Macaca mulatta: one gene and its partner. The protein of the gene in region 1 binds, or shares a complex with, the protein of each later gene. Links are inferred from orthologs where the notes say so. Each region holds a gene or a part of one and is shown on either strand. Other genes may lie near its edges.

Region 1 (7,298 bases):
AGAAGCCTAGGAAAAGCCCATGCTTTTCTCTTTGGGCCTTCACGGTTTGTTTTTTTCTTTCTTTTTTCTTTTTTTATAGAGGCTGACCTCGAACTCCTGGGCTCAAGCAGTCCTCCCACCACGGCCTCCCAAAGTGCTAGGATTACAGATGTGAGCCACTGTGCCTGGTCCTAGGCCTGCATGTTGAAAAGAGGTTCTTGACCAGGCGCGATGGCTCACGCCTATATAATCCCAACACTTAAGTGGAGACCGAGGCTGGTGGATCACTTGAGGCCAGGAGTTAGAGACCAGCCTGGGCAACATGGTGAGATCCCATCTCTACTAAAAATACAATAATTAGACCGGGCGCGGTGGCTCATGCTTGTAATTCCAGCACTTTGGGAGGCCGAGGTGGGCAGATCACCTGAGGTCAGGAGTTCGAGACCAGCCTCAACATGGAGAAACCCCGTCTCTACTAAAAATACAAAATTAGCCAGGCGTGATGGTGCATGCCTGTAATCTCAGCTACTTGGGAGGCTGAGGCAGGAGAATTGCTTGAACCTGGGAGGCAGAGGTTATAGTGAGCCAAGATCGTGCCGTTGCACTTCAGCCTAGGCAACAAGAGCAAAACTCTGTCTCAAAAAAAAAAAAAAAAAAAAAAAAAAAAAGGCAATTATCCAGGCGTGGTGGCAGACCCCTGGAATCCCTGCTACTTGGGAGGCTAAAGCAGGAGAATCACTTGAACCCGGGAGGTGGAAGTGACAGTGAGCTGAGGTCATGCCACTGCACTCCAGCCTAGGCGACAGAGCGAGACTTTGTCTCAAAAAAATAAAATAAAAAGCTCTCCTTCTGCCTCCTTGACCAGAGACCTCACTGCAGGGACTCTCTGGGCTTTTCCTCTTGAGCCCAAATCAGCTGAGCTGTGGTAGTGAGTCCTGGGCCCATTCCTCCCTCCCTGCAGAGTTGGGGGATTTTGAAATTATCAGGCATGGGCAGGGGCCAAGGCAGGGCGGGTGAATTCCTCTGCAGCCTGCTCTTAGCGCTTGGCCACATTTGATCATTCACTCACATGGATGTGCGAGGCCTGAGAGTGAGTCGCAGGCGATGGTAGAGCCACTTTATTGAAATAGCATGTTAGCATTTAAACAATATTAATACTTTTTGACTCATTAAATATACAAAGGCCAGTTAAAGTGCTTCCATGTGTGTGCTGTTAGTTCTGGCGGGCGACTCCTCAGATGGCTTTATGTGGTTTCAGACAACGTTTTAGCACATTCTTAAAATACCCACAAAAGCCTTTATGTAAAAACTCATAAATGCAAACCACATAAAAATTATTTTTTTCCTTGTTTCATGTCATTATGATCAAAGTACAGTAGGTAAGAAATAAATTTTCAAAAACATGTTGTGGTCCCTCCTTAATTAATGCTTCACGCGCAGAGCAGAGCCATAAACCAAGTAGTGGGGGCGCTGCCTGTGCGCCCTGCGGTCATCTCCCTCCTGAAGGTCCCGGAGCCATCCCGACAGCACTCACAGGAGAGGCCGGTGCTTCTGGGCGATTCTGAAACAAGCGTTTCTAACCGTGCAGTCCTCTGCTCCCTTTGTCTCGGAATGTCAGGTTGAGACTTGTGGCTGCTCCAGTCCCTGGTGATCCCTTTTGGTGAATGGAATGCAAGCCCATTCTTGAATTATTGTAGTGTCTGAGCTGTACCTGCAGAGGCCAGGTCTCAGCACGTCTGACTCACCTCAGCTGGAACATCCCGATTCAGAGAGGGAACAGATTCAAAGCGAGAGACCAACCACGCCGCCTCTAACTCTGTCGTCGTCGTTTCTTTATTAAAAGTCAGATCGACGGTAAATTAGGATACTATCCGACTGAATACTATCCTTGCTGTTAAAAATGATTATGGAGATCATGTGGCTCCATGGAAAAATGCTAATGATTCTGTGCCAAATGTAAAAAGCCGAATTCAGCGTGGTGCTCTTGCTGTGCTTACGGTTATATAAAAATGCATCTGGACTGGAAGGGAATTTGGAAAAATCAGATTTATGGGATAAGTTGATTTATGGTATTGTGGGCTAATTTTCAGATTTCCTTTTTAAAAAAACAATGATGTTCCTGCAGTAAGTTTTAAAATTGTGGGTAAAAGAATAGTAACCCCGCAAGGAGGTCACAATTGAGCTTGCATTTTTACCTCCCCTGGCTCCAGCATTTGAAACTTTAGATCTGGTCACTGTGGCCTGCCAAGGAGAAGCTGCCTGTAGTGGGAGCCAGGCCACAGGGTGGGACGTTGGAGTGGAAACGGCCAGTTCCACCCTATAAAACTTTAATGCGGTTGTTTTATTTTTCTGGAAGAAATGGAACGCTCAGGGATGGGACTGAGGGGAAGCAGCCGTGGGCCACCTGGTGCTTTTGAACTGGTCGCCGGAGGGTGTCGACAGTGTCAGGCCATCGGGATTTCTCCTGGTTCCCCTCCAGGGCAGCCTGACCTGCCTCTCCCCAGTGTCCCAGCACACAGAGGAGAGCAAGCCTTGGGCGGGCACAGCACCGCAGCTCTGTGTGGATCTGTGAAGGAGCGGAAGGATGAAATGCCCCTGGGCTGCAAGCCTTCTTTCCAGAATGGCCAAAGGAAAGAAGGAATTATTGGCCCATCCTTTTTGCCAGCAAAGTAGGGTTTTTTTGTTTGTTTTTCTTCCCCCTCTTTTGATGTGGGGCTGCTCTCCCTATAAGCTGGCTGAAAGAGAAAACCGTGTGCTAGAACCAAGCCATCTGTCGCCAACAGGAAGGGTATTAGCAGGTCTGTTCTGAGTTGCTCTTCTCTCGGTAGTGTTCGTGTGCCTCGTAAGTTAACCTGCAAGAATCCAGGAGAATAAGCCAGAAAGGCTCACGGAGCCCATGCTGCCAGTCATCTGAGCCCTGCTAAACCTCAGGTCTAGCAGGGGCAGTCAGTCCCTCTCCAGGTGTTCCGGGAACATTCCAGAATGGCCTGATCTCTCCAACTCTGTATGGGGCCGGTCCAGACCAGGAGGGCCCTATGGAGGCAGATGGGGCCTTGGGCCCTGGACCAAAACACTCATCTGCTTAGCTCGCCTTGCCCCAAGAAGGGAGAGTTTGGAGACAGACTGGAATAAAGGAAATGATCTTCTGGAGTGGGGTCTCTGAGTGCCAGTATTGGCCGGTGTCCTGGACATCACCTCTGCCAGCAGTGAGCGCTGAGCCCCACAGGTGTGTCTGTTCATCCAGTGGTCCTTTTCCTCTAGAAGGAAAGGATGCCTGTGCTACACCTTGCCAGAGCCAGGCCCTTCCCCACCCTGTGCAGTTTGACCAGTGATGAGCTCAGCATCTGGCACCTGACACATCCATCCCACAGGTGTTCCCTGAGTGGCACTTGTGTTAGCCAGGCAGCCCTGCCCTCATATGCCCTCCTGCAGACTCGCCTGTGGGCGCACCATGGTGTATTCGGTTTGATAGCTTAATCACAGTGGTTAGTGCCACAGAGGGCACGGGACAGAATGTGGTCCTGCCGCAGGGGCTGGCTGCAGCCTGCCTGAGGGAGCCCTCGGGGCGGGGCCAAGGGTAGCCCACCTGAGTATCAGCCCTCCTGGATGCTCCACAGGTCTGAGGGTTGGAGTGAGGGCAGACCAGCCAGGGCACCCTCATTCTCCTGGGAGGATGCTTTGCTTCCTTGGTCTGATGGTCTCTTAGTTACATTACACTCTGGTGTATTCGCGTACTGATTTTTCACAAAAGCTTTTTAGTCTGGAACAGTATGACTTACTGTCAAATTGCAAAAAAAAAAAAAAAAAAAAAATACAGAGAATTCTTGTATACCCATCACCCACATTCTGTAAATATTCACATTTACCGTCTGTATTTTTTATTATAGAATAGCTTTGGTGAGACATAATCTACAGATACATGTTAATTTCTAGTACTTAATTTTACATTAACCGTTTGGTAGGTGTCTACTTTTCCTAATTGTTTGTCTCTCAACAGCCATAGAAAGTAGATTAAGTCCCTAAAGTCCATGTTCACGCCACTGGTCCCTTAGTAAACAGTTGGACGCATGCATGCGTGAGCATAGCTCATAGCTGGGGCTGGGCGTGCTAGAGCTGTCATTGGGTCCGTCTGACTCCCAAGCCTGGGCCCACCTTCCCAGCTGTCTGGGGCTGAGGGCGGTGTGCTCCCAGAATACGCCTGTCGCACCAGGGCTTTGGGGCTTAATAGGGGTCAGAGAGGCCCCAGACTTCCTGATAAAGATGTGCTCACCATGAGAGATGCGATTGCTTACAGTTTCACTGGTTATCAGCAGAGATGAGATTTCTCTTTTTGGGGCTTAATTGGGGTCGGAGAGGCTACAGATTTCGCCACAAGAAATGAGATTTCGCTGGTTATCACCAGCATTTGCAGTTCCCATCAGCTGACTCCACCCCTCACCTCTGCTCACGGCAGCCCCAGCGAGCCACAGTAGTTGACCTGGGTCTGTTGGGTTTGGGATCCCAGACTGATTCCCATTTCTCATCTAACCTTTTCATTCCCTCTGCCATTTGATCGTAATTAGAAATCCCTCTTCCATTTGATCATAATTAGAAATGTTTCTGGGCCAGATGCAGTGGATCACTTGAGGTCAGGAGATCGAGACCAGCCTGGCCAACATGGCGAAACCCCATCTCTACTAAAAATACAGAAATTAGCCGGGCGCAGTGGTGCACACCTGTAATCCCAGCTACTCAGGAGGCTGAGGCAGGAGAATCGTTTGAACCTGGGAGGTGGAGGTTGCAGTGAGCCGAGATGGTGCCACTGCACTCTGGCCTGGGAGACAGTAAGACTTCATCTCAAAAAAAAAAAAAAAGAGAGAGAGATGTTTTTGTATGGACTCGGATTTGAGGAGGAAGCACTGTCTCAAGCTGAGCCCTTCATTTCCGGCTAGCGCTTTGTAGGAAGTTGCTCCGAAAGACCAGCTGGAGCCCTGGTCAGGAGGGATCAGCGTGTAGGGAGTTTGTTGCTGTATTTTCTCATCTGCCTTGTAACCCAAAAGACAGAAATATCGAACAACCGTGGTCACTCCAGTAGTCATAGCCTGCATGGATTGTCACTGGATGTCACTCGTGCTGCGTTCTTTATCTGGGAGGAATGTGACGCCTAGAGAGGTCCAGTAAACCAAAGACCACAAAGCTAAGGGAGGTGGCAGAGCCCAAACTCAAGTTCATCTTTATGATGCCTAAACCTACTACACCCCCAAAAATGCTGCACCCTCTCCCCGAGCCAGAGAACAATCAGAACACACCCAAGGATCGGCTCCTATAACTGTTGCAGGGAGGACCCTAAATCCCAGAATCTTTGCTGAGCAACAGCCTGGGACCCAGGCTGATTATCTGTCCTTTAGCATCTAACAGGCACATTGGCCTGTTTCCTGCAGGTATTTTGAAGGCGGCGTCTCATCTGTCTACCTCTGGGATCTGGATCATGGCTTTGCTGGAGTGATCCTCATAAAGAAGGCTGGAGATGGATCAAAGAAGATCAAAGGCTGCTGGGATTCCATCCACGTGGTAGAAGTGCAGGTACCGCCTCCCAGCAGCTGGTGGCCGGGGCCACTAAGTACAGAATCACACCAAACAGTGCCGCGCTGCTCTCTAGCAGATGCAGTGAGGGGGATGCTATGATCTCTGAACCCCTCATTCTGAGAAATGCCTCCAAGCCATTTGGATAAAGATAAGTCAAGATTGCAGTAGTCGCCAGGCGCGGTAGCTCAAGCCTGTAATCCCAGCACTTTGGGAGGCTGAGACGGGTGGATCACGAGGTCAGGAGATCGAGACCATCCTGGCTAACACAGTGAAACCCCGTCTCTACTAAAAAATACAAAAAACTAGCTGGACGAGGTGGCGGGCGCCTGTAGTCCCAGCTACTCGGGAGGCTGAGGCAGGAGAATGGCGTGAACCCGGGAGGCGGAGCTTGCAGTGAGCTGAGATCCGGCCACTGCACTCCAGCCTGGGCGACAGGGCGAGACTCCGTCTCAAAAAAAAAAAAGATTACAGTAGTCATTAATGATTAAGTTCTCAAAAGAAATACACAATTACAAATGTCCCTTTAAAAACCAGTTGGGATTTTATAAGAAAGATAACATTGTGAGGCCGGGTGCAGTGGCTCATGCCTGTAATCCCAGCAGTTTGGGAGGCTGAGGCAGGCAGATCACTGGAGGTCAGGAGTTTAAGATCAGCCTGGCCAACATGGTGAAACTCCACCTCTACCAAAAACACAAAGAAAATTAGCCAGGCTTAGTGGCAGGTGCCTGTAATCCTAGCTACTTGGGAGGCTGAGGCAGGAGAATCGCTTGAACCTGGGAGGTGGAGGCTGCAGTGAGTTGAGATCACACCACTGCACTCCAGCCTGGGTGACAGAGCAAGACTTTGTCTCCAATTAAAAAAAAGGTAATATTGTGATAATGACCTAGGAAGGGAGATGTTAGGATGACCCTGAATTCAAGGGGCCACTTCAGGCTCTCCCTCAGCTCAACAGATCTCTGTCTTGTCCTTCCAGGAGAAATCCAGCGGCCGCACTGCCCATTACAAGTTGACCTCCACGGTGATGCTGTGGCTGCAGACCAACAAATCCGGCTCTGGCACCATGAACCTCGGAGGCAGCCTTACCAGACAGGTAGAGTTACCCGCTCATAGCCAGTTGCCAGTGCCCACAGGTGCTGGCCTCAGCGCTGACCTGCAGAGATGAGTGAGCAGGTGCCCTAGGGTAAGCATGTTCAGCCAGCTATAAATCCACCACCTAAGGAGGGCTTTGCATTTTCAAATAAAAGCTCTCTGGGCTCTGCAAGGTTGCCCGTAGCTGCTGGCACTCTGCTGGCCTCCTGCTGAGGGAGGTCAGGTGCTGGCGTGGCTCCTCCTTACTCTTCAGGGCACCGCACATCCCCATGCTTCGGGTCATGGTGTGCAGTGAGAAGTGGTGCTTGGCTCTGTTTGCCTTCTCTGTGGCCATGCCCAGCCCATCAGTCAGGCCAGCTCTCTGGGAGCTGCTTACCTGAGCTCAGAGTGTCTGCACCTTGCTGCCCTCAGCCCAGTCCAAGGACCAGCATCAGCATCACCACAGAGCCTGTCAGAAAGGCAGAAATGTCAGACGCCCCCCCAGACCTAGCATATCAGGATCTCTATTTTCACAAAATTCTCCAGGTAATGTGTGTGCACATTGAAATTTAAGACGTGCCCTACTGGATACCTCTCTCTTATCCATCTTTTGTTTGGGTATCTCTAGCAACCCTTCTCCACGACGTTGCTCCCAGGTTCTGTCTAAGGCAAACTTGGACTTGGAC
Region 2 (7,910 bases), on another chromosome or scaffold:
AGGTCAGGCGATCTGCCCACCTCAGCTTCCCGAAGTGCTGGAATTACAGGCGTGAGCCACCACACCTGGACCCTCTTTATTACTTTTGTGTGTGATAAGAATACTCAATCTAAGATCTACCCTCTTACACTTTTAAATATGCAACACAGTGTTATTTATCACGGGTACAATGCTGTTCAGTAGCACACTGGGACAAACTATACGCTTTGACTAACACTCCCTTGTTTTCCCCTCCCTCAGCCCTGGTAACTATCATTCGACTCTCTCCTTCTATAAGTTTGACTGTTTTAGATTCCTCACATAAGTGGTGTCATGCACTATTTGTCCTTCTGTGTCTGGCTTATTTCCCTTAATATAATGTCTTCTAGTTTTATCCATGTTGTCACAAATAACAAGATATTCTTTAGTTTTTCAGGATAAGTAATATTTCATTGTATGTACGTACCATATTTTCTTTATTCATTCATAATGGACAGACTGCTTGCATATCTTGGCTATTGTAAAATAATGCTGCAATATATATGGGAGTACAAATATCTCTTGATTTCAATTCCTTTGGGTATATACCCAGAAATAGGATTGCTGGATTATATGGCAGTTCTATTTTTAATTTTTGTGGAACCTCCGTATTGTTTTCCACAGTGGTTGTACCAGTTTGCATTCACCCCAATAGTATATAAGAGTTCCCTTTTCTCGATATTCCTGCCAACACTTTTCTATTATACTTTTTATAATAATCATTCTAACAGGTATGAGGTGATATCTCATGTGGTTTGATTTGCATTTCCCTGATGATTAGTGATGTTGAGCACCTATTTATATACCTGTTGGCCATTTGTATAGCTTCTTTAGGGAAATGTCTATACAATCTCTTTGCACGTTTTCTAATCAGGTTACTTGGGGTTTTTATTCTATTGAGTTCTGGGATTCAATTTTGGATACTATTCCTTTATCAGATAGATATGTGGTTTGCAAATATTTTCTTTTATTCTGTAAATTGCTTTTACATTTTTGTTGATTATTTCTTTTGTTGTGCAATAGCCACTTTGTTTCATGTAATCCCACTTTTCTATTTTTAGACAAGTTTTTGTTACCTGTCTTTGTTACTATCCCTTTGGAGTCATATCTAAGAAATTCTTGCCAAGCCCAATGTCAAAAAGCTTTTTTCCTATTTTCTTCTATGAGTTTCATAGTTTCAGGTCTTAAGTTTAAGTCTTTAATGGACTTTGAGTTGATTTTTGAGTATGGGATAAGGTCAGAGTCCAATTTCATTTTTTACATGTAAATATCCAGTTTTCCCAGTGCCATTTATTGAAAAGACTACTCTTTTCCTCACTGCGTATTTTAGTACCTTTGCAGAAGATCAGTTGACTATATATAAAGGGGTTTATTTCTGGGCCCTCTATTATGTTCCTTTGGTCTATATATTTGTTTTTATGCCCCTACCATACTGCCTCAATTACTACAGTATTTTAAACAGATTTGGAAACCAAAAATTGTGATGCCTCCACCTTTATATTTCTTTTTTAAAGATTGGTTTTGGTTATTCAGGGTCTTTTTTGGTTCCAATAGGAATTTTAGGATTGTTTCTTCTGTTCCTATAAAAACAAAACAAAAATGTCATTGGGATTTTAGTAGGGATTACATTGAATCTGTAGATCACCTTGGGTAGTACGGATATATTAACATGGGATGTTTTTCTGTTTATTTGTAACTTTTAAAGTTTGTTTCATCAATGGTTTACAGTTTTGGCGTGCCAGTTTTTCACTTCCTTGGTTAAATTTATTCTTAAGCATTGTATATTTTTTAATGCTAATGTAAGTGAAAATGTTTTCTTGATTTCTTTTTGGATAGTTCAGAGTTAATGAATTTAAATGCAACAAATTTTTACATGCTAATTTTGTATCTTGCAACTTTACTGAATTTAATAGTTCTAGCAGTTGTTTTTGTTGTTGTTGTTGTTTTGTTTTTTTGTTTTGAGGACTCTCGCTCTGTCGCCCAGGCTGAAGTGCAGTGGCACGATCTCAGCTCACTGAAACCTCTGCCTCCCAGGTTCAAGTAATTCTCATGACTCAGCCTCCTGAGTAACTAGAATTACAGGCATGCACCACCAAGCCTGGCTAATTTTTGTATTTTTAGTAGAGATGGAGTTTCACCACATTGGCCAGGCTGGCCTTGAACTCCTGACCTCAGGTAATCCATCCACCTCAGCTTCCCAAGGTACTGTGATTACAGGCATGAGCCACAACACCTGGCCTTCTGGTTGTTTGTTGACAAAATCTTCAGAAGTTTCTACATGTAAGATTGTGCCATCAGTGAATAGAGATAATTTTGCTTTTGCCATTCTAGTGTAATTGCCTTTTATTTTCATTTCTTGACTAATTACTTTGGCTAGGATTTCCAGTACCATCTAGAGCAGAAGTGGTGAGAGTGGGCATCCTTGCCTTTTCCTAGATCTTAGAAAAAGTTTTTTCAGTTTATTTTATGTGATATTAGCTGTAGGCTTTTCATATATGGACTTTATTATGTTAAGTTCCTTTTATACTCAATTTATTGAGAGTTATCATGAAAGGGAGTTAAATTTTGTCAAATGCTTTTTCTATGTTTTTGAGATAATCATGTGATTTTTATACTCCATTGTGTTGAGGTGGTATATTACATTGATTGATTTCTGTATGTTGAGCCATCCTTGCATGCCAGGGACACATATTATTTGGTCATGGAATATGATCCTTTTAAAGTGCTATAAATTTGGTTTGCTATTATTTTGTCGGGCAATTTTGCATCTATGTTCATCAGCAATATTGGCCTAAAGTTTTGTTTTCTTGTGGTGTCTTTGTTCAGCTTTGGTATCAGGATGATGTTGACCTTATAAATAAAACTGGAAGTGTTCCCTTTTCAATTTTTTAGAAGCATTTCAGAAGGATTGGTATTAATTCTTCTTGAAATCTTTGGTAGAATTCACCTGTGAAGTCATTTGGTCCTGGACTTTTCTTCGTTGGGCAGTTTTTGATTACTAATTAAGTCTTCAAATAGGGTGTCACTATGTTACCCAGGCTGATCTCAAACTCCTAGCCCCAAGTGATCCTCCCACCTTGGCCTCTCAAAGCACTGGGATTACAGGCATGAATCACTGCACCCAGCCTCTCAATCTCCTTTTTGCTATTGGTCTCTTTAACCTTTCTAGTTCTTCTTGGTTCAATCTTGATGGGTTATATGTTTCTTCAAATTTCTCTTTTTTTCTAGATTGTTCAAATTTATGGTATATGATTGCTCATAACAGTCCCTATGTGTTTTTCATTTTTGTGAAATCTGTTGTAATGTCTCCACTTTCATTTCTGATTTTATTTATTTGAGTCCTCTCTCTTTTTGTCATACTCTTACTAAGTATTTGTCAATTTTATTTAACTTTTCAAAAAAACAAGTCTCAATTTCCTCAATTTCTTCTAATTTTTTTCTTTTCTATTTTAGTTATTTCTGTGCTAATCTGTATTATTTCCTCCCTTCTGCTAAATTTCGGCTTATTCACCACTGATTCTATAAATCACTAACATCTAATACAGTTACCGTTATTATTTAGATGTAGTTAGACATCCAATCCTAGGTTTAACGCTAGCATTTCTGTATTCTCAGGAAATTATTCTAAACTGATTTCCTGGTATTATTTCAGATTTTCTCAACAACTAATTTTACCTTCTACCGAAATGCTCTCCATCTTGATTGTAAATATAGTTAGTATAGTTAATTGTTTTTCTTCTTAAGAGACTAACCTTTATATGACATTTACTCACATTGGATTAAGTTCCTCCTAGGATAGGATAGGCAGGGGGTGGATATCATCTTACCTTAAATATCCGTTTCACATGAATATAACTGCACCGAATATCTAATTTTTCAAGTAACCTCTGAGTTTTTTCTAGATTAATTTTTCCACCTCTAAAGTCATCCTGAATCTTCGACAAAAACCATGTAGAAAGCACAAAAAGTTAAGGAAATTCTCATAGAAAGGCACTGAGTATTTAAAATTCCTAAAGAAACATTTGATTTACTGTACTTATTTTTATTTTTAAAGAATATGCTTAAAGTAAGTTATAGGATAATTGTATGATAAATAATATTTTTTTAAAAAAATTAAGTAGTTACTATGCTATAGTAAAGGTATGAAAGGGTATACCACAATAAAAATACAAAAAAAGAATTAAAGTTAAAATTTGAGAATTAAAGTCATTACTTAGAAAATACATTAAAACATTATTACAATCTATTGCTTGAAGGCATGAAGTTGGGAGGCAACCAGACTTCAAGATCATCTCTCACCTGATCTCTCTGTTTTAGTTCTCTAATCCAGAAAGGTGATCATATTAACCCTGAATCTTAAGGAAGGTGGAAGCATTAGATGAATTCCTAATATGTCACTGAACACGGTTTCTGCTACTTAGTGTTCAATAAATAGTAACCATGACTGATAAAGTTATTATTACTACATTAGTCAAATACCCAGCTATACACACACTCAAGACAGTAACATTTTAAGTACCATCAAAAAGCATCAAAAATACCATGGTAAGTGTATATTTGGTATGAAAGAGAAAACAAAAAAAAAATTTTTAAAGCTTACTTATCATAGATAAACTACAAAAGTTAGGACACTTCCATTTGAAAAACTAAGATCGAAATGAGATAATGACAATTATCACCAAAATTATAAAAGATATAGGTAAAAATTGTGCAAAACTACTCAGTTTCAGATTGTTAAAATGTATTGAGATCTCCTTAAATTTAATAGTTATGACTTAATTGAATAAATAAAGCTCATTTTCTTGTAAGAAAAAGATACCAGAATGTAAGGAAAGTTAGAAAAGCTCAGAACAGACATCGAACAAGCAGTTCAGCTTAAATGAAGAGGATTTAAATTCAGAACTCTTCGAAAAGAGTAACAGCATCAAGTAAAGAGGATAATCAGGAGAAAGAAGAGGGGCAGAAAGAAGCTCTCAATGGATATTTCATTTCCATAGTTTCATGACCTGTAGAGCCGTTTCTCCTCACTTAGAAGTCTTTCCCCAATAGGTGCTGTTACGGGTTCCAAATACAATTAACTCTGCCCCTTTGCAGAAAATAATTTCTTGATACTCCTCAGCTGTTACCACTTTTCTAGGGAGAAAGCAGAGAACACACAGTGGTTTGTCGCCTTTGTTCTTTGAAGCTAGCTCACACTTCACCGTAGAAACAGTAAGCAAGATGTAGTACCTGCACTACCCTGCCCTTGAAACTGTTTGGCTTCTTACATTCTGACCATCTCAAAACCCACAATATTTGAAAATGCAGCTTTCCCTGATGTCTGGCATTTTTCCATGAACTGCCATTGTATCTCATTTTATTTTTTACTATTTTGTTTAAACCCCTCGAAGCTTTCATCACAATGTAATGTGCTTCCAGTGGGTTTGGGTGGCTGCTCTGAGAGCCTGAGTATAAATCAACACCATTGTGATTCCTGAAGTTGCAAAGTGCTGTCACTCTTGAAACTTTGGGCTGCTTCTCTAGATCCCTGACAACATATAATGCACACAGAGACACACCACTTTCGAAGAAGACTGTTCAGGAGGCTAAGTTCTTAAAATCTTCAAAATAGGTATAGCTGGTTGGCTGGGCACCACACTGTCAGGTGACTGTCATTTTTTCCTTTTGGTCTGAATACCCATTGTGATATCATCAGAGGTTCCACACTTCACAAGGAAAGCTTCTTATGACCTCATCAGGAGGCTCAGACCTTCCTAGACTGCCTGCTTTCATGGGTAGACACAATAACCTTCAGCTTCAATGTTAACACCTTGATGGGAAAGGTGTCTCATGGAATGTTTTCTTATCCTTTGAACACTCTTCATTTCAGAAGCTTTGCTTCTGTTGCAACCAAACATGACACTTAGCGTGCTCAGCAGGAAGGACAAGGAAAGAGTAATTCGCAGACTGTTATTACAGGCACCTCCAGGGGAATTTGTAAATGCCTTTGATGATCTCTGTCTGCTTATCCGTGATGAAAAACTTATGCACCATCAAGGTGAGTGTGCAGGCCACCAACACTGCCAAAAATATTCTGTACCACTCTGCATCGATGGAAATCCAGTACTCTTGTCTCACCACAATGTAATGGGCGACTACCGATTTTTTGACCATCAAAGCAAACTTTCTTTCAGATATGACCTGCTTCAAAATCAGCTGAAAGACATCCAAAGTCACGGTATCATTCGGAATGAGACAGAATATCTGAGAGTTGTTGTTCTGTGCGCCTTAAAACTGTATGTGAATGACCACTATCCAAAAGGAAATTGCAACGTGCTGAGGAAAACTGTCAAAAGTAAGGAGTACTTGATAGCTTGTATTGAAGATCACAACTATGAAACAGGAGAGTGCTGGAATGGACTTTGGAAATCTAAATGGATTTTCCAAGTTAACCCATTTCTAACCCAAGTAACAGGAAGAATATTTGTGCAAGCTCACTTCTTCAGGTGTGTCAACCTTCATATTGAAATATCCAAGGACCTGAAAGAAAGCTTGGAAATAGTTAACCAAGCTCAACTGGCTCTAAGTTTTGCAAGGCTTGTGGAAGAGCAAGAGAACAAATTTCAAGCTGCAGTCTTGGAAGAATTACAGGAGTTATCCAATGAAGCCCTGAGAAAAATTCTACGAAGGGATCTTCCAGTGACCCGCACTCTTATTGACTGGCAGAGGATACTCTCTGACTTGAATCTGGTGATGTATCCTAAATTAGGATATGTCATTTATTCAAGAAGTGTGTTGTGCAACTGGATAATATAAAGAATTGCTCCTGGTAACTATCTTGATTTGACTCGTTTGTGTTTCTGGGGAATGGTTATTTTCCTAAAATTGAGCAATCTGTGGAGATGTCTCTCACTTACCCAATGCAAATTTAAATGGGAAAAGTGTAACAAGTAATTTTACTCGGGGAATATTGATGAATAATGCAAGAAAGTGTAAAGTAACTGTGTTTCATGGTGGTGACCATCATAAAGACCAAGACATTTGTTAGAAACTAAAATAGTTTTATAGAATATGGGATTCCAGAAATAATAGAGAGGTGGCCAGGGTTAAGGCTGTGTGTGTGTATGTGTGTGTGTGTGTGTGTGTATGTGTGTGTGTGAGAGAGAGAGAGAGAAAGAGAGAGAGAGACTTTTGACTTTGTTTTGAACTGAAAAGGTATACAAATGAATATCACTCCACAAATGATATTTTACATAACTCAATTCAGTACTGGACCATCCACGAGAGGGTGAATTTCAATAAATGACATTAGGTTTGGATTTTCCACGAAACCAACAGATATCAAAAATCTAGCTCACATGAAGGACTATTAGTAATTTTGGATCCTCTTCCACTCTACTTCCTTCCCCTCAAGAATTGGGGTAACTCAAAATCCCTGGCTTGTCTGACAACTAACATGGTCTTCCAAGCCAACTAGAAAAACCTGACTTCCCAAACTTTTACAGCTAAGCTCTTGTGAAGTCGTCACTGTAAACACTTATAAGTACTTACTGCATAACATGGCTTGTGCTAAATATTTTGCATAACATTTTTCATCACTAATCTGGTACTAGTATTATCTCCATTGTACCTAAGAAAAACCTAAGTTCTCAAGTTGTTTACATCTTCCAGACACATAGTATCACAGTTCATTTGTGCTGCTATAACAAAATGCCATACATTGAGTCACTTATAAATAACAGGAATTTATTGCTCACAGTTATGGAGGCTGCAAAGCCCGAGACCAAGGTGCTAGCAGATTCAGTGCCTAGTAAAGGCGTGTTTCCTTATAGATAGGATTTTCTAACTGTGACCTTACATGGTAAAAGGGACAAAGCAGCTCTTTAGAACTTCTTTTAACGGCACTAGTATCA

The links.
Region 2: CAPZB (region 1) and CAPZA3 share a complex: the UniProt entries of both Homo sapiens proteins name them as parts of the WASH complex. The link is inferred for Macaca mulatta from reciprocal best matches to the Homo sapiens genes CAPZB and CAPZA3.

The regions. Positions count from the first base shown.
Region 1 is NC_133406.1:221,612,569-221,619,866, forward strand, and holds part of CAPZB (F-actin-capping protein subunit beta), read left to right. Parts: intron 1-5,399; coding exon 5,400-5,541; intron 5,542-6,517; coding exon 6,518-6,634; intron 6,635-7,298. UniProt on the Homo sapiens protein: F-actin-capping proteins bind in a Ca(2+)-independent manner to the fast growing ends of actin filaments (barbed end) thereby blocking the exchange of subunits at these ends.
Region 2 is NC_133416.1:21,193,717-21,201,626, forward strand, and holds CAPZA3 (F-actin-capping protein subunit alpha-3), read left to right. Parts: upstream 1-3,729; 5' UTR 3,730-3,845; coding exon of another isoform or gene 3,846-3,969; 5' UTR 3,970-5,002; coding exon of another isoform or gene 5,003-5,013; 5' UTR 5,014-5,913; coding exon 5,914-6,813; 3' UTR 6,814-6,833; downstream 6,834-7,910. Other genes in the region: PLCZ1 (1-phosphatidylinositol 4,5-bisphosphate phosphodiesterase zeta-1), read right to left, coding at 3,846-3,969, 5,003-5,013. UniProt on the Homo sapiens protein: F-actin-capping proteins bind in a Ca(2+)-independent manner to the fast growing ends of actin filaments (barbed end) thereby blocking the exchange of subunits at these ends.